3 linked regions of the Drosophila melanogaster genome follow. The protein of the gene in region 1 interacts with the protein of each later gene in a pairwise test. Each region holds a gene or a part of one and is shown on either strand. Other genes may lie near its edges.

Region 1 (7,772 bases):
CACACACACCTCACACACATGCACAGTTTTCGTTACTTATATTTTGCTTTGCTCGTTTTTTTTAATATTTCGTTTTTATATTTATTTTTCAAACAAGTACAAAAAAATAACCCAAAAAAAAAAGAAAATAGAGTATAACGAAAGCAAGTGAGTCGGTTAGCCAGATATATATATATGTACACATATATATATCTATATCTACTCGTGTGTGTGTAGTCGAACCAAACAAAAACAAAAACAACAAAACAATCTGTGTGGACAGCAATTGGAGCAATATCTACGTGTGTCGCTTGCGAAGAGAAAGACCCGCTCGCGTTGATAGCCAACTCAAAACTGATGTCGCGCCAGCCAGCTGCTAACTCTGAATACCGTCGCAGTCGTCGTCGCAGTCGCAGTCACCGCCGCTGCCGTCGGCGCACCAACACACACCACACCAACCCCCCCATCCGACCCACCTGCCCCACATCGCCCACCGCACCACAGCAGCCGTCGCAGAGGAAGAAGAAAAGTCTGCCGTGCAGCGGGAGCATCGGATCGAATCGGATCAGTTTGGATCGCTTGCCATAGCCGAAGACCCCAACATCCGAGCATCCGAGCATCCAAGCATCCAAGCATCCGAGCATCCAAGCATCCGAACATGCGAACATCCGAGTCACGAAGAGTGGAGCGGCAAGAGTGCCGGAGTGGGAGTGGGTGGCAGAAGAAAGTATGAATTCGGCCAGCATAAGCGTACGATTCGTGGGACCCTTTAGTTGAACGATGAAGTGCGGGCATGCTGCTTTCGTGGACTTTCACTCGTCTCGTTTAGAAATCAACACAATTCCGATACATTCTGATTATGATGAATATACGTATATGTACGAATGTCCTGAACATGAGTTTGTTGAACGATCAGGTAATTAGGACCTGGGTATGAGCCAAATAGTCTGGCCATTGGACTGTCTTCTAAAAGCAATGGGTATCGCCAGTTCCGAACTCCTTCTTTCTGCTTTTTGCTCATTTGCAGCTGCGGTGCTGCCTGCTCCCCTTGCTTTTGCTGCGGCTGTGACGAAGAGAGCTCTCGGACGGACGCCCATTAGTGAAATTGGTAGGAAAATGCAGTTGCAGGCGACACGAAGTAACGCAAAGAAAGTAAGAGAGCTCAAAAGGGGCACCCTGTATGGCGTATGCTGTGCGCGATATGCGAAGACGACAACAACTTGTTGGCCCCTACGTCAGCGCGTCTGACGCCCCACCTCCTTGGTTTTCTCCTCGTCTGTCAGCGAGTCTCCGCGGTTCAGACAGCATCCACCCATAGTCCCCTCGTGGGTCTTTGGCAAACGCCCCCGCATAACTACGAAAATAGCAAATTGTTAATTTCGCTTCGAAAACTCTTTTCCAATACACACACGAAATCGCAAATCGTCGAAGGAAATGGTGGTGGGTATTTGGAGGAGGAGGGGAGGGGACACATGATTTTATTGGCATGCTTTCATGGTTTTTCCGTGCGAAACATTTCATTTTTCATTCCACATTTTTTAACACGCTGCTACATAGGACTATTTGTGTGGGCTTCTTCTTGTCGGTGGAGAGAGATGAAATTTATGAAATTTATTAAATATGCTCGCCACACACAAAATCAAGGATAGCTATTAGCTAAACCAATAAAAACCACCCACAATAAGTGTGGACACACTGCCGTCTCTCTCTAACATTCTACCCCTCTCTTTCACTCTGTGTGGGAGCTTTCAAAAGCTCTAGATCATTTGTGTGAATGGAGAATCTGAGAATACGTTCATGTTAAATAGCCAGGATCTCCGACGGCTAAGTATTGTATCCGTCGACTTGTCCCAATTTACAGATATTCCTTTGGGGCGAGATATACAGATAAGATACAACGATATAGAAAGAGATAGAGCCTCAATTTGGCTATTTATAGAACATAATGTGCGTCGTCAGCGGCGAGTTTTGTTCTTTTTTCAAAAACAATATCTATTCTTAGTCGCTGCTTGTGCGTTAATACCATATTTTTGTAAATACATACTAACATACATTCCCGCTGAGACATAAATTTTATAAAAATTGACCAAATGCCATCTGAGAGGCCGCAACATCAAGGTGAGGAGTGGGGACCATCAGGCGATGGTCCACAAACCAAAAATCAATGCCTAGGGGACGCGAACAAGGCGTACAGTGCGGTTCGAAAGCGAAAAGCGATCCTTTCATAATCACAATAGAAGGGATTTCTAGTTGGTTAACATTTTACACATTATAAGTACAAGATCGTGAAATCGTTGGGATCATCTTTTGAATGAAATGAATTAAATTTAGACTGGCTATTTTCGAAGAGTTTCCGCAGTGAACTTTATTTATTACCTCCACCTAATTATATCACAGATATATTAAAAAAAAAAAGAAAGCCACCCAAGGGGCCGGCAGAATAACTAATTTAACTAGTAATACAAAACTTGTTAGGCGGAACAGAACATAGTATGATTTATAATAATAAAACTGAAATATTGAAACATCCGCGCAAATAGGCATGGATGTATATACATTTCCGCCTTCGAGAAAGTCACTCGATTTCTTCTTACAGTCCTGAAACGCACCGCTTATATACGCAAATAAAGCCATATATTTGTGTGGACAATGGGATTAATCGCAGATCCGCAGATAAAACGACCATATATCTTGTTATGCAGTTTATATTTTTTATACATAGATATATTTTGTTGGTTTTCGTCGGTGATTTTTGTATCTCGCATCTAATTGATAACGTTTTGGGTAAATTTATGTTAAAAAGTAATTACAATTGATTTAGAACGGGGCCAGCACCGCAGATATGCGCCTGCTGACATATATATTTATGCTGAATTTGTATGTTTACATACGTCTGTAGATCATAACTATGCATTAATTTTAACCGTTATTTTAATATCTTTACTCGTTTAGCTTTAGTTTAACTTTTACTTTTACTTTGCTTGTGTGCATTTTCTCGTTCGTGTTTTGTGTTCTTTTCAAGTTTTGGATTTTGTTTGTTTTTCGTTTACTGGGACATAAACGTCGAGGAGGCTAATCTTCATCTTAAGGAAAACATTTTCTATATCAATAATAATAATAATATTAGGTAATAAAAAAAAAATAAACAATTACATACACATTTTGCGTAATATTAGGGGGCTTTTGTAGGGTATAAGGGATAGAGAGGAGAAATGCAAACAAACGCAATCACAATGAAACATTTTTCGGATGGAGAACGGGGGAGACTTTAGAGTCGGGACCCTACTCCAGTTTCATCGCCAGGCCGGGTGGCGGCGGCGCCTCCAGCTGCTCGAGAAAGAGCTCCTCCAGCGGCCGGTCGCTGGTAATGCGGAAGAGGAACAGGTGATCCTGGCACTTCAGGCTGATCGATCGCAAAGCGGGCAGACGCAGCAGCAGTTGCGCAAAGCGTCCATCGTCGCCCGGATGTTCCAGGCGGCAGTGCTCGTCCAGGCAAGCGTACACCTTCTCGCGGCACATCTCGATCTCCGCCCGGCTCTTGATCCCGCGTATGTCCGGGTTGTACAGTATGATGGCCTTCAAGCAGGACAGCTCGCGTCGGTCGAGATTCAGCCGCTTCATCTTTACACTCAGCTCCGACAATATGCGGTCGAAGATGGCTGACACACCGGCTTTGATCGCACTGTTGCGATGGTACGAGAAGCTCTGGTTGAGGAACAGCTGCTGGGGCTGAAGGCCCGGTGATCGTCGCTCAAAGGAGCCATCGTGGCCTAGTCCACCGCCCCCGCCGCCGGCACCGCCGTCATCCAGCGAAACGATGCTGCACCAGGCCACGTTCGCAATGAGCAGCTCGATCCAAGCGGCTTTCAGCAGAATCACCTGGTCGTCCAGCGGCACCTGGGCAAAGTGCGGCATCATGCGCGCGTATTCGACCATCTGGAAGAGCTGTTTGTTGACCACTTGGCACAGGGCCGACACGGCACCCTTGTAGTCCGGCTGGACTGTGGAATAGGGACCAACGCGCAGGAACGTCAGTGCACGATCGCCGCATTGGGTCTCCGCTCGCTGCTCGGCCTCTATGATGCGCTCGATCGAGAAATCCCTGGACACGCTATTGGTCATGAAGTCATCAGAACCGTTGCCGCTGCCCATTCCGCCAGAAACGCCGCCTCCTCCTCCTCCGCCTTGAGAGCTGGATCCGCCTACCGAACCTGGACCGCTACTGCCGCCTCCGCTGGCGCTGAGCCTACCCGCCGCATTGCGGGCGCCGCGTTGACGCTCCTCCTGGACCGCTTCGCGCTTCATGCCGCAGGTTAGGCACTTCTGGTAGCGGCAGTACTGGCAGCGGTTCCTCTGCCGCTTGTCTATGATGCAGTTGCGGTTCTCCCTGCAAGCGTATGTGAGATCCTTGCGCACTGTGCGTTTAAAGAAGCCCTTGCAGCCCTCACAGCTGTACACGCCGTAGTGCTTGCCACTGGCCCGATCCCCGCAAATAGAGCAGAGGTGCTTGCTGCCGCTCAGCGGATGGTTAGGCGGATACTGCTGCTGGACTGCAGCGGCGGCAGAGCCTCCAGCCGAATTGGGCGCCTGCGCCATTTGGGCATCTCCAGCGCTGTTGTTGTTGGAGCTGGCGGAGTTGGAGCCGGGCAGCACGTGGACCATGGACATGGCCTGCATGAAGGGCACGGGACTCTCGGCCTTGGGCGAAAAGCTGCTGTTGTTGCTGTCGTTCAGCTGCGAGATGTCCGGCTTGACCTCCTCCTTGATGTGGCTCAGCCGAAAGCTGGCGTCCTGGTCGCAGTTGTCCATCCTGGGCTTGTGATGTGGTGCTGGGTATATTGGAGGAACTGGGGGCAGCGCCTCCTCCGCCTACCGGTTTCTTCTTGCTCGTTCTCTTCGTGTGTATGTGGTGTGTCTTGGCTCGCTTTCGCCTCTCTGTTGGGGTTTCACTTTGCCAACGCCACCGTGTCCGTCCGTCCGCTATTGGTCCGTTGGGCCAAGTGGAGCAGGTTGCAGTTTCGTTGTTGGTGGGGTCGTTGCTGCATTTACATAATCTTGAGCCGATGGAGCAGCGCACTTTATTCGCTCGCCTCCAAACAATTGCGCTTTTTACCAACAAACAAAGAATGCCAGACTTTCTGACTAATGAATAAATACCTTTTTTCGCGTCGACATTTTTTCTCAACAAAGACAATCTCACCACAGCGACGCAACTCACCAACGTAGGGATGGACTGTGACACAGGTTGCGTCGTCACGAGTCACAGTCACGACTGTTAAACACTGTATAAAATTAACAACGGCGATGGTATTACCTTAAGTCATATGGTATATAACGCATCTATAAAATTACATACTCCTCTTTTTAATTAATGCACGACATAAGTACATATATCGGTCTCCCAATTGAAGCACGGATTCGTGACTGGGCGCAATCGCATCTCTAATTCACCACAAAGTGGACAGGGCTGTTTTCCCACTCACAGAAACAGTTTTAAGTGGGCGTTAATGACCCAATTAAAGCGCTAATGCCCATCGCACCTGCCGCAAAAATAAGTGTTTTTACTTTGATAACCAATGCGCAATCAATCAATTAATTAATTTAGTCGAAAACCAGAAAACGGGAGTAGCGACAGCCCTGGCGGCGCCATTGCAAAACTCACCGCACCTACGGCGCATGCAACCCTGAGTCAGTCTGGCTCCCCTCCTCACCGCCTTGCAAACCACACAGTGCACAAATAATTTAGCGCCGCTGCAATTATGCAGAATAGAAATGCAAAATGGAGACGTGAATGTGCGCCAATTTCACCGCTGCCGGCGGCAACCTCGGCCTCAAATCGCAAACGCCGTCGCCGAGAATCGAGCGGTTAGGCTGCTGAACCGTGAATCCCAAGACCAAACGGAACCAGAATTGGGCGAAATGCAAATGGAAGTGCAACTTACTTGCAGCCAGTGGCTTTTGATGCGCCGCAAGGTGACGGTTGTTTATTTACTTTTTTCCTTGGCTATCAGTTATCAGTGCTCGCGAGCACACACACACACAGGCACGTCACTGACACGACAACACCACACGACGCTGATTTAATTTGTTGCAATCTCTATTGTAATTGTAGTAATTGAGTCCATCCCATCATCACAAAGAGACGCGACGCGGTAATTGGCATTCGCAAGAAGAAGCATTTCGCGAAACAACAGCTGACAGCGTGGTGAGAAAGCGATTGCGGGGGGCGAAGAACTGGTTTGTCTGTGGTGAGTATACTGTCGCGGTGAGTTGCCTTGGTTCGGTAAAAAACAATGGCACATTATAGGCTGTTTCCACTTCGCTTAATGGTCAGAAAATCTGAAAATTAATCCGTCATGGATATTTATGTATTTTATATATTTATGCGATAGTTAGACCGCAGTAAATTTCTAAAAAATGAATTTCCGCGATGACCAAGAAGCAGGGATTCAGTAATTCAAGAGCACCCTAACATCTGCCTTAAAATTCGATACCGGTTTAGAACAAAAATGGGAGATTCAAAATTTATATAGAAAAAAATTTGCTTAACACTATCAAATTAAGAAGCTTATTTTAAAACAGTTTAAGGGAATGGAAATAGAGTTTTCACATCAAAATTGACATTCAGGACATATATTCTTAATATTTATTTGATTATTGGTATACAAAAAATACACTAATATGTGATATTTTCTATCAGTTTAATTTTCTGATATCGCAATTTGGGGCCTCAGCCCTAAACAATTTATTTCTATTTGGGTCTATTATCTTGTCAAACCCTTTAGTTGCTAACCCTGTACCTACCGCTTCCTTTATAATGAAATGTATCGAGTTCTTTTGTTTAGCTCAGCCTTATTACGTTTTGCCTGTCGGTTTCGCAAATATTCGGTTTTGATTGGTTTTCAGGCGAATAGTACGATAAGCAAATGCGACTCGTTTGTTTGTTTACGGCTTTTAATCAACATCCGAATCCGAACATTCATGTAGTTTGCTGAGTTCAGCATTGAGGACAGTAAGGGCTCCGATCCGCTGGTTAAGATATTCGATCTCTTCTCGGTACACGCCCGTCTCGTAAAGTAGATTCTCGTACTCCCTCATAATTCCAATATAATCGTCACTGCTGCTGTTGTCGTTACTGTTGTTGTTGTTGCTGCTGCAGCTGCTGCTGCTGCTGCTGTGACCTTGGCTCCGATTATGGCCGCCCCAACTGCCACCCTGAGCCGATGCACTTTCCGGAAACTCCTCAAAGTCCAGATAAAGCTGAAAGTAGGCGGCATCCTGGCTGCGGCAGATAGGGCAAGTCCTTGATCTGCAAAGCAGACGGAATCCGCGTATAAGACAAAACGTTTGAGCTCGGCGATAAGATTTGGGGCACTGCCACTGATTTAAATCACTTTTGTATCATTTTCATTTCTGATTGGTGCATAAATTAGAATATTATATCAGTGGCACATTTCATTTTCGTTATAGCTCTCAAGTCCTTAGGATCACTTTTACTTACTGCTTTCTCCAGTGGTCTAGGCAGTCCTCGTGGAACGCGTGTCCGCAGCTGCCGGCTTGTATATTGTCCGAGGTGCGAAACCGCTCCGAGCAGATCGTGCAGATGACGTTGTTACGGCCCATTCCGCTCCGGTTGACTTATACCTAGGTCGATTCGATTCGCTCCGATCCAATCAGGTTCGATCTCCCTGTGCCGTATTGTTGCTCGGCCGGTGACAGGGGACTGAATGAATGCAAGTCGCTGAATCGAGCGTTTTGCTGATAAGCGTCCAGGCAGCCACAGTACACTCCAC
Region 2 (9,509 bases), 9.6 Mb from region 1:
AAAGTGGCGGCAGTAAGTCTCAAGGAAAAGACACCTGAGCCGGTACCCAAGGCCGAGCCCGAACCCGAGTCTGAACCCCAACCCGACGAGGAAGCCGATGCTGAGGTAGATTCCAAGTTCGAGGAGAGCAAGGAAGCCAAGGAGAAGAAACTCACTCACAAGGAGAAAAAGAAGCAAAAGAAGCAGCAGGAGTACGAACGCCAAATGGAGCTGATGACAAAGAAGGGTGGTGCCGGTCACTCGGACTTGGACAACAATTTCACCATGTCGCAGGTGCAGAAGAGCGCTGGTCAAAAGGCGGCTCTGGAGCAAGCCGTGGATATCAAGATCGAGAATTTCACCATCTCAGCCAAGGGTGAGTCATCATTGCTATAACTTTTCGTTGTGCATTATCAATTTTAAATCCAAACATTTTTTTTTTTTTCAGGTAACGATCTATTTGTGAACGCCAACCTATTGATTGCACATGGACGCCGTTATGGTTTGGTGGGTCCCAACGGGCACGGCAAGACCACCCTGCTCCGGCATATTGCCACCCGTGCCTTTGCCATACCGCCCAATATCGATGTGCTGCTTTGCGAACAGGAAGTCGTAGCTACCGATAAAACGGCCATCAATACAATCTTGGAAGCTGATGTGCGTCGCACAGAGATGCTAAAGAAGGCCGATGAACTGGAGAAACAGTTTGTCGCTGGCGATTTGACGGTGCAGGAGGAGCTAAACGATACCTTCGCGGAACTGAAAGCCATTGGAGCCTACTCGGCGGAAGCCAGGGCACGAAGAATCCTTGCCGGTTTGGGTTTCAGCAAAGAGATGCAGGACAGGCCGACGAACAAATTCTCCGGAGGCTGGCGCATGAGAGTGTCCCTAGCAAGAGCTCTCTATCTGGAGCCCACGTTGCTTATGCTCGACGAACCGACCAATCATTTGGATCTTAATGCTGTCATTTGGCTGGACAACTATCTGCAGGGCTGGAAGAAGACCCTGTTGATCGTGTCCCACGACCAGAGTTTCTTGGACAACGTCTGCAACGAGATCATACATTTGGATCAAAAGAAACTGCAATACTACAAGGGCAACTATTCCATGTTCAAGAAGATGTATGTGCAGAAACGCCGCGAGATGATCAAGGAGTACGAGAAGCAGGAGAAGCGCCTGCGCGAGCTGAAGGCCCACGGTCAGTCGAAGAAGGCAGCGGAAAAGAAGCAGAAGGAATCGCTCACACGCAAGCAGGAGAAGAACAAGTCTAAGCAGCAGAAACAGGACGAGGATGAGGGACCTCAGGAGCTGTTGGCCAGGCCCAAGGAATATATTGTCAAGTTCCGCTTCCCGGAGCCATCGCAGCTCCAGCCACCCATTCTGGGTGTCCACAATGTCACCTTCGCCTTTCCGAGCCAGAAACCGCTGTTCATCAAGGTTGACTTTGGCATTGATCTAACTAGTCGAGTGGCCATCGTGGGACCCAATGGTGTGGGCAAATCAACCTTCCTCAAGCTGCTGCTCGGTGAATTGGAACCGCAGGAGGGTGAGCAGCGCAAGAATCACCGACTTCATGTGGGCCGCTTCGATCAGCACTCAGGTGAACATCTCACGGCAGAGGAATCGGCTGCAGAGTACCTGCAGCGTCTGTTCAATCTGCCCCACGAAAAGGCGCGTAAGGCATTGGGTTCCTTTGGTTTGGTCAGTCATGCACACACCATCAAGATGAAGGATCTGTCCGGTGGTCAGAAAGCCCGTGTGGCCCTCGCTGAGCTATGCTTGAGTGCGCCGGATGTACTAATTCTCGATGAGCCTACGAACAATCTGGACATCGAGAGTATCGACGCCTTGGCGGAGGCAATCAACGAGTACGAGGGTGGCGTGATCATCGTCTCCCACGACGAGCGTTTGATCCGTGAAACAGGTTGCACTCTCTACGTAATTGAGGATCAGACGATCAACGAGATTGTTGGAGAGTTCGATGACTACAGAAAGGAGGTTCTCGATTCGCTCGGCGAGGTGGTCAACAATCCTAGCGTGGTGGCCAATGCGGCTGTGCTGCAATAACCCTCAAGTTGCATACGGACTTGGAGTCCATGCAACTGGTCATCACTCGTCAGCTGGCTCGCCCTATGTTAATTGTTCAACTGTTGAATTGATTATCTGCTAGTTAGTCTTTTTATACCAACATATATACAATAACAAATTGTGGAAGTAAATGTTATTACACAAGAGCGTTTAAGAATGTGTTGTTTATGTTATTAAATTGTGGGTATTAAGTATTTGTTGTAGAATATACGTGGAACTGGTTAAAACACCCGTAAATTGTACTCGTAATATATGTAGATAGATGATTTATATTTAAAGTTAATGCCAGCTCTGAGTGTTCTCCAAAAAAATGGAAAAAATAACATTAGAGTACATAATATTAATTCTTAGATATAATTGTGGACATCCTAGCCGCTGCGATAGAAGGCCTTGACATTGTTAATCAGGTGGCTCAATCCATTATAGCCATCCTTATCGAAGTCGATGTTCTCGCCGCCAAACTCGATGACCTGCAAATGAATAGTGGGCAAATGGTTTGGGATCATTGAAATAAATGACTCCATGGATTGAGTGCACCCACCTCCTTGGCCCTGAGGGTGTCCGCACCATGGGGCACTCCAATGACCTCGACCCAGGCCCCTTCGGCGGCGCCCAGCTCACCCGGCAGATTGATCTTTAGCTTGTGGTTGTCTGTGGAACTGGCCAGCAAAGTGGATCCCGCGACGCTCTCCACGCGAACCATTATGCTCACGGTTTGGCCGGAAAACTGCTTCAGCATGCCGCCGTTGATAATCGAGCGTGGATCAAAGGCATCCATAATAACTCCTCAGTTAATAACGTTCAAAAAACAGCCAATTTCAGCAGAAAATGAAATGCCGTAAACAAGAAAGAGCGCCAATAGTTATCGAGCGTGCTAATCGATAATAAAATTGCATGACGTCTGCTATCGAAATTATTCGAATTTTGTAGCAAAAATATTTATGGATTTATTGTAACATCAAAAGTTATTACATTATTACTGTGGACTTATGTATTATAATAAGAATTAATAAAAATAATTTATAATAGAATTATAAAAAGACCTGATAGATTACATGTATTACAACAATGTTATCGACAGCGAACAAGATGTTCGAATCTTTCTGATATTTTGTCCGGTGTGAACGTGCGAATTTTAGTACGACAACCAGTTACATCGATGTATCGATAGTTTTTAGACTGGCCAATGTTTATTGTTATAAAATAAATGTTACAAATAAACAATTAATCACTTAGTATAAACAAAAATAAGTGCAAGCAGCAAGTGCGTTGTTAAAACGACCGCCGCCCTCCGAATTTCCTTATTGCGGGCATTAAATCGCAACAACAACAACGCCACCAGCAACAGCAACAACAATAAGCAGGAGATTCAGATTCGCAACGCAATCAAAACGTAAAAAAAAAACGAAAAATAAAAAACTACAAGGCGAAACGCATAAATAAATAGGGAAGCAAATAATAGTAATAATAAGACTAAAAGCAAGTGGAAAAGTACGAAAGCGAAAAGAGAAAACATATGTACGTTGCGTGAGAGTGACGTGTGTGTGTGTGTGTCAGTGAGCGAAGGAGAGTGAGCGAGAGAGGGGAGGCGAGCAAAAACAAAAACAACAGCACAGCATAAGCGAGACCTTGAAAACTTTAAAAGCAGCAAAAAAAACAAGACAACAGCCAAAAATAAGAAACTAAAAGCTGCAAAAGTAATAAAAAATATATTTTAGCCGAAAAATTTCCATAATAACAATTCTAGAAGTGCGGAGCGTACACCCTGTTATGGAGAGTGACGATTTTCATTTACCGCAAGGCGCCAATTAAAGGGGAAAATCCATAAATCGAGGATTACAAGTGGAAAACAAGGAGGCAGTAACTCCAGAAAACGCCCAAAAAGTCCAAAATGGCAGCACCAGAGACGGGCAACACGGGCTCCACAGGATCCGCTGGCTCGACAGGATCGGGATCGGGATCGGGATCGGGAAGTGGGAGCTCCTCAGATCCAGCGAATGGACGGGAGGCCCGTAACCTTGCCGAAAAACAGCGACGGGATAAGCTTAATGCCAGCATCCAGGAGCTGGCCACCATGGTACCACATGCAGCCGAATCCTCCCGTCGCCTGGACAAAACCGCCGTCCTTAGATTCGCCACCCATGGCCTGAGACTTCAGTATGTCTTTGGCAAGTCCGCTTCCAGACGTCGCAAGAAAACCGGCCTCAAGGGAACGGGTATGTCTGCCTCACCTGTCGGAGATCTACCCAATCCCAGTCTGCATCTAACGGACACTCTAATGCAACTGCTGGACTGCTGCTTCCTCACCCTAACCTGCAGTGGCCAAATCGTTTTGGTATCCACCAGCGTGGAGCAGCTATTGGGTCACTGTCAGTCCGATTTGTATGGCCAGAATCTACTGCAGATCACGCATCCCGATGATCAGGATCTGTTAAGACAGCAGCTAATACCCAGGGATATAGAGACCCTGTTCTATCAGCATCAGCACCACCAGCAGCAGGGGCACAATCCCCAGCAGCACTCCACTTCCACGTCGGCCTCAACTTCGGGCAGTGATCTGGAGGAGGAGGAAATGGAGACGGAGGAACACCGTCTGGGTCGGCAGCAGGGAGAGGCGGACGATGACGAGGATCACCCGTACAACCGACGAACACCCAGCCCGCGGAGAATGGCCCATTTGGCGACCATTGATGACCGACTACGCATGGATCGGCGCTGCTTTACCGTCCGCTTGGCTAGGGCTTCCACGCGAGCGGAGGCCACGCGTCATTACGAGCGGGTTAAGATCGATGGCTGCTTTCGTCGCAGTGACTCCTCCTTAACCGGAGGTGCCGCTGCCAACTATCCGATTGTCTCCCAGCTGATACGACGCTCGAGAAACAACAATATGCTGGCTGCTGCTGCAGCAGTGGCAGCAGAAGCGGCGACGGTGCCGCCCCAGCACGATGCCATTGCCCAGGCGGCGCTGCACGGGATTAGCGGCAATGATATTGTCCTGGTGGCCATGGCCAGGGTGCTGCGAGAGGAACGGCCGCCTGAGGAGACGGAGGGTACAGTGGGCTTGACCATTTACAGACAGCCAGAACCCTATCAGTTGGAGTACCATACGAGGCATCTAATCGACGGCAGCATCATCGACTGTGATCAAAGGATTGGTCTGGTGGCGGGATATATGAAGGATGAGGTGGGTATATTAACATCATCTCTCTGAACTGCTTACGACAACTAATCGTGTACTCTCCACTCGAAACAGGTGCGCAACCTTAGTCCCTTCTGTTTCATGCACCTGGACGACGTTCGCTGGGTGATTGTGGCCCTTCGACAAATGTACGATTGCAACAGTGACTACGGCGAGAGCTGCTACCGTCTGCTGTCCCGCAACGGGCGCTTCATTTACCTGCACACCAAGGGATTTCTGGAGGTCGACCGTGGCAGTAATAAGGTGCATTCCTTTCTGTGCGTCAACACGCTGCTCGATGAGGAGGCGGGCCGGCAAAAGGTGCAGGAGATGAAGGAGAAATTCTCGACAATCATCAAGGCGGAGATGCCCACGCAGAGCAGCAGTCCCGATTTGCCCGCCTCGCAGGCACCGCAGCAACTTGAGAGAATTGTCCTCTATCTAATAGAGAACCTACAGAAGAGTGTGGATTCAGCAGAGACGGTTGGCGGCCAGGGCATGGAAAGCCTAATGGACGATGGCTACAGTTCGCCAGCAAATACCTTAACTCTCGAGGAGTTAGCTCCCTCGCCCACGCCCGCCTTGGCCTTGGTGCCGCCGGCTCCCTCATCGGTCAAGAGCTCCATCTCCAAGTCGGTGAGTGTGGTCAATGTGACGGCGGCCAGAAAGTTTCAGCAGGAGCATCAGAAGCAGCGTGAACGTGACCGTGAGCAGCTTAAGGAGCGCACCAACTCCACGCAGGGCGTGATCCGGCAACTGAGCAGCTGCCTAAGCGAGGCGGAAACGGCATCCTGTATCCTATCACCAGCCAGTAGCTTGAGTGCCAGCGAAGCACCGGACACGCCCGATCCGCACAGCAACACATCACCGCCACCGTCGCTCCACACACGTCCCAGTGTCCTGCATCGAACCCTGACCAGCACGCTGCGATGACGGGCTGATGGAACCTGGTTTGCCTTCTAATTGGGTGTGTGGAAATGGACGTCATTGGTAGCTCACGTGCCCACAAACGAATTAGTATCGGTAATATAATCCTGGCCAATCGCAAAATGAAAACCCAAAATGTATCAGAAAAAAACGAGCATTATTCAAATAGTTTAAAAATTCAGCCAAAAAACTTAAAAACGAAAAAAAAGAGCGTGGGTTGAAAAACCTTTTGTTTTCATATTCACATTTCCAAGCTTTGAGCAATCAAACAATTTTAATTTTCAGTATACACATATGTATAATGAGTTGGCTTTACAAAAGCTATTAACAAATCAAGCAATTGTGTAATTTAATATGAGACTTTCCGTGATTTTCGCTTTCTACGTACTTTTCGACTTCAATTGATCTATAGGGTTTCCGTATTAAAAACGAAATTAACGTGGTTTCATTTGATGAAAATGCAATATGAGCTCGCATTTATTTTGATATTATGACAGTAATAATGATCTGATCACGATAATCGTTTTCTCAAAACATAAGCGATACATTTTGGGTACATTTGGCCATTACTGTTTCTGTGTGTGATTTCGGTATAAAATAGTAGTTTGATTACATGTTATATTGATGAATGGCGATCGGTGGGTGCTGCTAAATGCGTTCCATTATCAATAATTTTCGTTATGTAATTACGTTTAATTTGTAAATATGTATGAGTGCGAGCGTGAGTGAGTTTGTGATCGTGTCAGCATGGGTGTGAATGAACATTAGATCAGTGCTCGGATTTGGTTTTAGTTGAAATTTAAACCCCATTTCCCCGATTTCCCAGTTATCACCTTCCGCCCCAAAACACCAGTGTAAAAAGAGTACAAAAAAAAAAAGAAAAGAAAATAGAAAAACAAACAAACAATTATATATTTATTTCGCCCTAAGTCTAGAACGTGCTAAACACAACTCATTAATAGTTAAACAAACGGATGTTGCAATCGATGGAAATTAAACGCTCGCTTTTAGTTTTGCCGTCTCGCTCGAAGAAAGAAAGAGGACTACATATGTACAGTCAAACTAATCCAAGTCAAACTCTTCAGTCTCAGAATTGGAGACTTTATTAAAGGTTTTTTATTTTATGAAGAATAGCATATTATTTTTATATATATATATTTATGTATATATATTTATATCACAAATCTCCTTCGATATCCCTTTGTAATCTATAAAAACACTTCCAGGCGCAGCTTTATTTTTCAACAGTTTTAATTTTGGGAACTTTACAAAGCATATAAGCATACCCCAAATCCATATCCTTATAAACTTTGTAGTTATTACAAATGTGTTCAAAATTAAAAAAAAAGTTTGTCATCCAAAATCCAATCCGCTAAATACAATATAATCATTTTAATTGATCTATGTTACACTTCTATAATGTCTACTGGACAAAATATGATTAAGTTGAAATTTCAAAGTGTTTTTGAAGTTCGTACTAGCGAAGTTTGGCTGTAGTTCAATACTCACAGAAAGGGAGCGAGACATATTCCCATCTCGCTCCGACCTGTTATCAAAGCCTTTGCCATTGTCCTTGGCGTTGCGTTCTTATCACCGGCGTATCGGAGGGAATATATGATTTTTTTTTCGGCCAAGTGGTTCTAGTGGTAAATATGAGGCGGTGGGTGGTTTCGGGGGGTTTGGGGGAACGGCGGTTGGTGATGGGCGCAGAGAAGGCGGGAGGCGGGGGGGAACACGTTTCGTTATTTTTTGTTTTATAGCGAAATTCCTCTAGCTATAAATGTATGCATACATATATGCTATTAACTTTTCGTTTAGCTCAATTTTTTGTTTGTATTTTTAATTATAACTCGGTTTGTCTAGTGTGTAATTAAATTAAAAGTCCAATGCTAATTCCCCAGCGAATCGTTCAGTGTTTGTTCAAACGAGTTGTGCTCTTTAAACACTTTTGGCTTATCCTTTCATTTAATTTTTGTTTGTTTTCCTTGCGTTGTTATATGTCCAAATAAAAATGAAAGTTTGAATTGTTTTTTTTTAGTAATTTAGTTTTAACTGTAATGTCAAATGTCAAGAGGTATACTCTGTATAAGAATAATAATGTGTAATGTAATTTTTAGAACTTGCTAATCTCTAGCAATTAAAACATAGCCTGTAATTAACAATAATTAATTATAATAACCAGTAACAGTTCATGCAAATGAAACCTTAATAAATAATAAATTATATAAAAGAAGATGGAAGTGTTTTCAATCAATGAAGTTACTTCCTATTTTCAGGAGTTGGAATGTTACACTTTTTTATAAGCTGATTTGAAATGCGCGCCACATTATATCTGCCTTGCGCGCACGCATTGCAGCCGAATAACGGCGAATTAACTCCCCTCAGAGGTGAGTTTGAACTATCGATTATAATCGATTGCATTCGGAAACAAAAAACACCTTGAGTTTGGTCAGATCGGTTTTGCGCGGGATAAATAATAAAATATTAAATGTTTTCTTTGTTAACATTTCGCTGTGCATGCTGTCTGGGTACACATATACAGCCTATCGCCTTGGCTCACTAAGCCCATGGCTCAGATGTCCATTTGGACTAACATTTTGTGTGAGTAATTGAATAATAAGAATTACGGAGCTCGGACTTGTAATGGCCGAAGTACTACTGCCGCAATGCTTGGTTCACGTTAAAAAGAATCAAGTGCAACAAATTTAATTGTATTTAACTATTTTATAACCGCGCAGCAAAGTAATGGTTAATTCTGCTTTTAAATAGTTGACAGTTACAAGCGAAACATAGAAGCCGCGCAGGTTCCTATCGATACCATCGCTGGGTCATCGATTATTTGTCCAGCTCTACAGGTGAAACGAGCGTTGGCGATTCCGATTCCGATTCCAATTCCGATTCCAAATTCGACTCCGGACTCGAATCCGATTTGAATCAGATTCCAATTCAGTGTGGTGAAGAGCGAACCGGAGTGCGGACGGTACGGACGCGAAATCTGTTAAGGCGGGCCGCAAAGCAAACGCTCGAAAAACGCAAAATTTGTCGATTGTCCGTTCCGCTTTTTTCTTGTGTCTGTGCTTTGCGTCGCGTGCCTGCGTGTACGTGTAAGTGTGCGTGCGCCTGTGTTTGTTTTTTGTTATTTTTTTTATAACCAACGACAACAACAGAATAGAAGTAAATAAAATACACAAATTAACGGTGTATATATTTAAATGTTTTGGTTTTTTTTAGTGGCGTGCCGAATGAGCAAAATTTGAGAAAAACGCAGTGGAAAACGTAAGAAATGCTGAAATAAAGCTTAAAGTAAAAGCAGAAATTGAGAGTTGTTTGTGTGTGT
Region 3 (6,760 bases), on another chromosome or scaffold:
TTGTATATAGGACGCTAACGACAAAGCAGCTCCTGCCGCAACGGCTCCAGAGAATAATAGCAGCAGCAACAGCAGCGTCACCGGGAGCAGCAACAACTCGGCTGAGGGCTCGCCCAGCGCAGCAGATTCCACGCCAGCACCAACGGCAACGGAAACTGTCCAGGAGGCGCCAAACAGTCAGGCGATGTACGAGCAATCGGTGCTAGACAAGGAGAACTCGCTCATCAATAGCTTCTCCACGATGATCATCGATGAGAATGCCAAGAACCTGCAGCAGGTGAGCAACGGCAAGTTGCTGGTGGACTTTGAGAGCACCAATACTGTGCCGGCGGTGGCCAACGGCAATGGACACATCGAGAATGTCAACAACAAGAAGTGAGTGGAGGGAAGTGATATTCTCTCAATTATTATTAACGTTCAACAAATTGTAGTGACATCAATCTGCTGCAGGACGTAGTCGCTCCGGTCGCCACCCAGCTGATTGACCTGAGCATCGAGTCACAAGATCTACACCTGAACAATAACAACAGCTTGCTGACGAGCACAGCGGCAACCACCACGCTAGTCACTGCTGATAGTCACGAAAATAAAGGTACCATTGATTTCATTTATTGCTCATAATAGTCCTTTAATATAATCCTGTTTCTACCAACGACAGATATATCGCTGCTGTGAATTGGATGAGGAAACCAAACTGATTGTTTTCTAAACCTAAATCTTGATATAGCTAAATGTGTGTGGAGTCGGAGTATTTATTTATAGGATGAGATCTATATAGGAATGCGAGTGGACAGTGCGACAAATTATGGTTACTAAAAACAGGAAAACGTAAAAGCTTAAAAAAACCTATATATTTAAACGTACACATTATATAGATAGATCTGAATCAGAATCAGAGCGGGAGTAACGATAAGACCGATCCCGAGCAGCTGCAGATAAAAATTAGTTAAGAACTAAGACAAACCCTAAAAGAGAAAGCGTGAGATATGGTGGGGACATCCTCCTCAGAGATCGGGGATCGTTTGCGAAGCAATTTAATATCAAAGAAATCTGTTTGTGAAGTACTACAACTAAGCTAAAAAAAAGAACATTTGATGCAATTTTCGATTCGAATCGTTGCGTTTCGATCTAATATAATTACAAACTCGCTTCAAAAGTTGAAAGTGCATGCTTACATTGAGTATAACTTGAGCCAGAGAGCAGGATAATCGCCTGGGCCGACGCCGAAGCAGCGTATATAATTGAAAATTATATAAAATTAGTAGACAACAAACCCCTAGTATAAACAACAACGCGAGATTCTACGGGGCACCCAGATCGAATTGTGTGTGGACGGGTCCCGAGCAAGCAATAAAAGAATACGAAGACGCGGTATCCACATACCATTAACCCATCCACATTTACAGCGCCTCACTGCTAGGAGGGCATATTCGAACCCCCTCTTTATTTTTTGCCCAACTTTGCACAGTTGTTCTGTAAGTTAAGTTTAATACGTTGAGCCAACGAATCGTGAGGTATTATTTATTTAAACAAAACGAAACAAACGAAAAAAAAAAAACATAGGAAAGAGGAGGAAATAAGGAAATTCAATTGAAATTATTTGCTGATACTGTTCGCAGCTAGTCGAGCAGATACATAGGTAGCCTGTAAACAATAAAACAATTACACGCGGATATATACACCCACTGTAATCACAGATGTCAGTGCTTGATATACACATGCCTAGGTCTAGTGGAACTGGTAGTTCTACCATGTTGTACTATTTGTAGTAGGAGTCCCAAATCTGATTATGCTTATGTCACCCTTTATTATAGGAATGTTCTCTGTATATTATTGCGTCTCTTTTGCGTCTACGTATATATTTTTTGGTAAATGATTTTTTATATATACATATACACATTTATATTTGTAATTTGTATTTATCCATGTGCAAAAATAAATTATGATGATTATTTTTTAAAGAGTCGTCCCCCTCGAAGCATGCATAACAGATTGTAAAAAATGAATCGATTTATATATAATACGAAAATCACACACTACCCACTTGTATCTGAGCGAAAGGGCCTTAACAATTAGTAGGATGCATGATCGATGTATGCAGATCGGTTATAAAAACAGATATAGCAGGCATATTATTCGCATGCGAAAACCGTTAATAGAATAATATATTATAATGGCAATATGTGTATGCAACTAATAAGCCCTAACTTCTAGTTAATTACTGCTTTCCTATGTTATAAACCAAATGGCGATATAATCAAAACAAAAGACAAGCCCACATAAGTTAAATGTGTATGCTACCAACATAACAAACCTTTGAAGATCAAGCTGAATTATGTATTTCTAATATTAAATATATCACAACCCACACATAAAAAAAAAAAAACAAACACGACAAATAGAACAACAAATTATACAAGCAATTCCCCTATTTATTTAGAACCACACTGAAACACTAAAGAAATTCGCTTCTTATCGTAAATCCACAATTGCATAATTTATACGATTAAACAAAATATATATTTATGTGAATAAACTGTAACTAATTCTCAAGGCAATCATCCAAATGCGATTCGCTACTTCTTGGTTTCCAGAAAGTCCCCCAAAAATGTCATGGTCATCTGAATGGAATGCTGCTGCAAGAACCTCTCGATAAGGGGGAACATAGGAAGTTTTCAATGGAACTTTACTCTGGCGAATCTTATCGGATAGTTTGTACACAACCGCAAAAAGTAGCACTAATAGTGGTTGACTTCTATTAAAAGTAAAGCAACAGGTGGATCATGGAAATCATACTGATTCAGATTCATTATCTTTTCAAAACCTATTGAAAACAAAAGTTACTGGTTTAGAAGGCAAATGAACCAGAAATTTTAAATTTATACTTATATAGTGTAAAATTGTTTCCAGTGCTCGATAGTTCCATGTTTTATTATTTGAAAAACAACTGCCGTTAACAAAGCGGTATGACATCATCAATGCCATCATAACAAATCAGCTGCCGCTGATAAGCGCAGCTTGGAGCTTTTATGTTGTACCCAACCTACTAGGTACAAGACTGAGTGTGCTTTACAACACTAAACTGTTGGCGAGCTTTCCTCTGTTTCGCAGCTCGGACCGCCTTTCATAACGTAGTAAGTTTTCGTTGCGAACGGACGTAGCCCAACCAACTTGGCCTTAACCCTTGCGCTCCCTCCGATTTATTCCGCGGCAAACACATTCCAGTGGACAGTGGTGCAGTTCAGCCCAAGACCAACCTACATTTTAGCTCCCTGCAAACCCGTTTCTTCATCAAATAACTATGGCGTCCAACCGTGCAGCGAAGTCTGGTTTTGCCGCCGAGGCCCAGCGCAAAGTAAGTACCAAATAGCAACAACAACCGCACCCCCCACCCAAAAACCGAAGAGCGCCAAACAAAACAACACAATAAACAAATTGCCCAAAAAAAAATCAACTTTTGCACGGGTGTGTGCGTGAGTTTAGAGCTGCATTGACTTTATTTGGCGCTGCGTTGTCAAGATTTTATCTTCGCGCGCCAAATGCCAAAAATTAGCCAAAAATGGTCTTGAAATTGCCAGCGTCTAACAAGGAATGACCTCATTTCGCTGATAAGTCGAACAAGTATTTATGTACATACATATGTATATAGGAATATATACATGCATGTACACACATGTGTAATGCATGCGTAATTCGAAAGCTTGAAGATGATTTAGGTGATTTTGAGGCATTGTCAGTGCGGGTGATTCAAATCGAAGATCGAGAAAACAGTTGGTTATCCATAAATCAAACAATTAGTAGTAGTTAGTAAAGCTCTGGAAATTTCGATATGAATAATATCCCAAGTTCGAACAGTATACATTATAAAGATGAGCTAATATAATCCTAATTAATTGTGCTGCAATAAAAGCAAGTCTGAATACATAGGTGCTACTTGTGGAGTATCCACTGTAGAAGGAAGACCCTTTGGATGATCTCAACCCAACTATTGCAGCATGGTAGCTTCCGCAATGTAAATTGACATTAGTTCCGTCCATTAGCAGCACTTTGCCTCAAATGCACTCATACAAATGCATCGGGCTTTTGTGGGTGGGATGGGGTTGGGGATGGGTTACCCGTACCCTTCGGCCATTTGGCCCTCGTCAAGTCGGGGTTACGCAATTCCAACCGCCCCTGGGCAGCCCCAAGTGAAATTGTATATGTCGCCGGCACAGGGGATTAAGTGCAGTCCGACGAAATCCACAACAAGACAACTACAGTTACAGCATTGCCCAAACAAAAAACGAAACAAATAATCGAGATTTTTCATATCCGAAGTTTTGTATACCCTTGAGGAGCACTTTACCAAGTTGTTGACAAACTGAAATATTTTGTTTTGCTTTAGCTTTGCTTATCTAAAAGTATTTCCACCCGGATTTCATTCTCTTGAGTCAGCCATTTGGCAAAAGGCCTTGTTTATCGGTATTATCTGTACTAGCGCATTTTTAAAACACAGTATGTTTTAAAACACAGTATGAAGTATGTTTTAACGTGGTTTATGGTGATATATCAGGCACTATGGTTATGAAAAATATTATGAGAACTCTGTAGTGTTTATTTATGCCATATCATGTTAAGCTAAAACATTTTGGTACTTGGAATAGGAAGAACCTTGGCATAGGGTATAGAAAAATAAGAGAAATAGAGGCGAGTGCCTGGAGGCGCAGCTGCTGGCGCGACTCCAAGCCGCGATCGAATGGCTCCCCAGGAGCCGAAGGCGATGATGTCATTCCTTCAGCTGTCCCTCCACTGGTGCTCCTCGATCCCTTCGCGATCCATTCAACTCGAAGGCGTTGTTAGTTTGAGCACTTTTGCCGCTCGCTGGGAGTCACTCATATCTTCTGAGGGGGATTCGGGTTCGGGTTTTGAGTTTTTGGGGGTGACAGGAGGTAGAGGCGATAGCAGCACCTTTTCCACCACATGAGCACTTAAAACTGAGTATGTGGCGTAAGCAAACAGCAAAACAAAAGTGAGGCAAAAAGGTATGAAAGCAATATTTTTGTTTGTCTCATGGGTTCTCTACACTCCGTGCTTGCGTGTGTGCTTTTTCCGACTTTTACGACCAGTCACCGACAAATTGGCATGGATCTCAAGTTTCGGCCAGGGAATTCGTAGCCCCTTTATTTTCAACCCTTTCCTGGGATCGTAGCACCAGCTGTCGGGAAAGTTCTAGGAATGAGGCAGAAAGGTCTCAAGTTACTCAAAGTATGTTTACTAATTTGTAACTACATAAACGATTGAATATATTAGTTTAGCAATCTTAGATTCAGCATGATACTATTTCCTTTCTGGAAATTCACCCCTAAGAAGCCGCACTGTAGTTGTTTTCTTTTCCAACTCCCTCCACGCTCGCAGCTGTATCTCACCGCATTGGCGGCACATGGGCCACGTACTAATCACTTGGCCTTTTTCGGAGTCAAGAATCCACACTCAATTAGCAGTGCATATGTGAAAGACACTGTGTACACACTTGTACATCCGCAGCACGCACCTCCCTGTATCTGTATCTATATATCAGTATAGGTACGGGTATCTCTATCAGTGCGGGCGACACGTAAGTGGAACACTTGGCCCACATGAACTCCGTGCTCCTAGATGGGTATAGCTAGGTATTCATTCCCGAACCTCTCCCCCAAAAATTTAACACTTGTTGGCCGCTAGTTTTAGATAAGCCATAAACAGTCGCGGGAGGTGGTCGACAGCGGCTTTATCGTAAATCAAATGCTGTTTTGGATTTCCGGTGAAACTACTGCCAGTGCCGAAAACACCTCGACAAATGAAAATGGAATGAAATTCTGCCCCCTGTCCAAATCCCTCCGAAAAAGGCACTCGATGGGGGCCCATACAACAACTCAGTCAACTGAAGTCGAAGTTGGTCGCTCGTAAACCAGACTCAAAAATCATATATGTATGTACGCAATTGACCTCGTTACATTTTTGCGGATTTTGTTTATGTTATCGTTGTGGAATTTTTGTCATTTTCCCATTTATTTATCCACCCAAAAGATATCGGTCAGCAATTGTCATGGATCATGACGCATTCGAATCGCAAAAGAAAGCGAAATCGGCGGTGGCATAGTGAATAATCACCAGATCTGGCCATTTCGTGGATTGATTTTTGAAGACGCGATTACGTAATTGTTTGCCTGGCGATGGATGCGTCAACTCCCAGCGATCCCTTTCGCAGCAAAATAAAAAAAAACACACATTTAACTAATCATCACCATCACCATCTACATCTATGTATCTGCGCTCAAATATTGCCAAAGTTCAAATTCAAGCCATAACGATGCCATGACATCACCACCATCGGCTTCAAAAAGCCATCAGCCAAGCAAAACGTGCCCCTGTCTCTTTTTCTGTGATCCTACAATGGATTATTATGCAATGATCATCAGTCTGGGGCTCCTCGCCGGCTTTTGGGCGGAAACTTCCGTCAAATTTGCAATAGGGATTCATTATTTATTAAGTATAAAACGTTTTTAGAATATTAGAGACACTTAGTTTCTTGCTGAAGCTAAAACTTATTTCTTAAAACAAACTGAATGGTACGGCTTAGTAATCCATTAAAGGAAGCATATGATTCCTAAAAATCAAGTTTTTAAAATATTTTATTTTCTGAATTTTTTAAATAAATGAGCTGGCTATCATTAACTACTTCCCGAAGTTTCGGAAACTTGCACAAATCTTTGATCATAAAACTCGTAGTGAAGTAAATTCT

What was found. The genes of interacting proteins can lie anywhere in the genome.
Region 2: the proteins of usp (region 1) and Met interact in a two-hybrid assay, tested with the Drosophila melanogaster proteins (2 studies listed by BioGRID).
Region 3: the proteins of usp (region 1) and Chd64 interact in a two-hybrid assay, tested with the Drosophila melanogaster proteins (one study listed by BioGRID).

What each region holds. Positions count from the first base shown.
Region 1 is NC_004354.4:2,036,126-2,043,897, forward strand, and holds usp (ultraspiracle), read right to left. Parts: upstream 6,187-7,772; 5' UTR 5,922-6,186; exon of another isoform or gene 5,743-5,921; intron 5,520-5,742; 5' UTR 5,336-5,519; intron 5,262-5,335; 5' UTR 4,789-5,261; coding exon 3,262-4,788; 3' UTR 2,673-3,261; downstream 1-2,672. Other genes in the region: CG4325 (uncharacterized protein), read right to left, coding at 6,934-7,288, 7,481-7,602. UniProt on the Drosophila melanogaster protein: Receptor for ecdysone. May be an important modulator of insect metamorphosis. Plays an important part in embryonic and post-embryonic development. Binds to ecdysone response elements (ECRES) such as in the promoter region of s15 chorion gene.
Region 2 is NC_004354.4:11,612,910-11,622,418, forward strand, and holds Met (Methoprene-tolerant), read left to right. Parts: upstream 1-3,214; 5' UTR 3,215-3,958; coding exon 3,959-5,251; intron 5,252-5,320; coding exon 5,321-6,178; 3' UTR 6,179-8,371; downstream 8,372-9,509. Other genes in the region: CG1703 (uncharacterized protein), read left to right, coding at 1-355, 428-2,046; RPA3 (replication protein A3), read right to left, coding at 2,436-2,537, 2,609-2,845.
Region 3 is NT_037436.4:4,118,751-4,125,510, reverse strand, and holds the start of Chd64 (Chd64), read left to right. Parts: upstream 1-3,122; 5' UTR 3,123-3,301; coding exon 3,302-3,355; intron 3,356-6,760. Other genes in the region: ens (ensconsin), read left to right, coding at 11-375, 432-592, 659-675.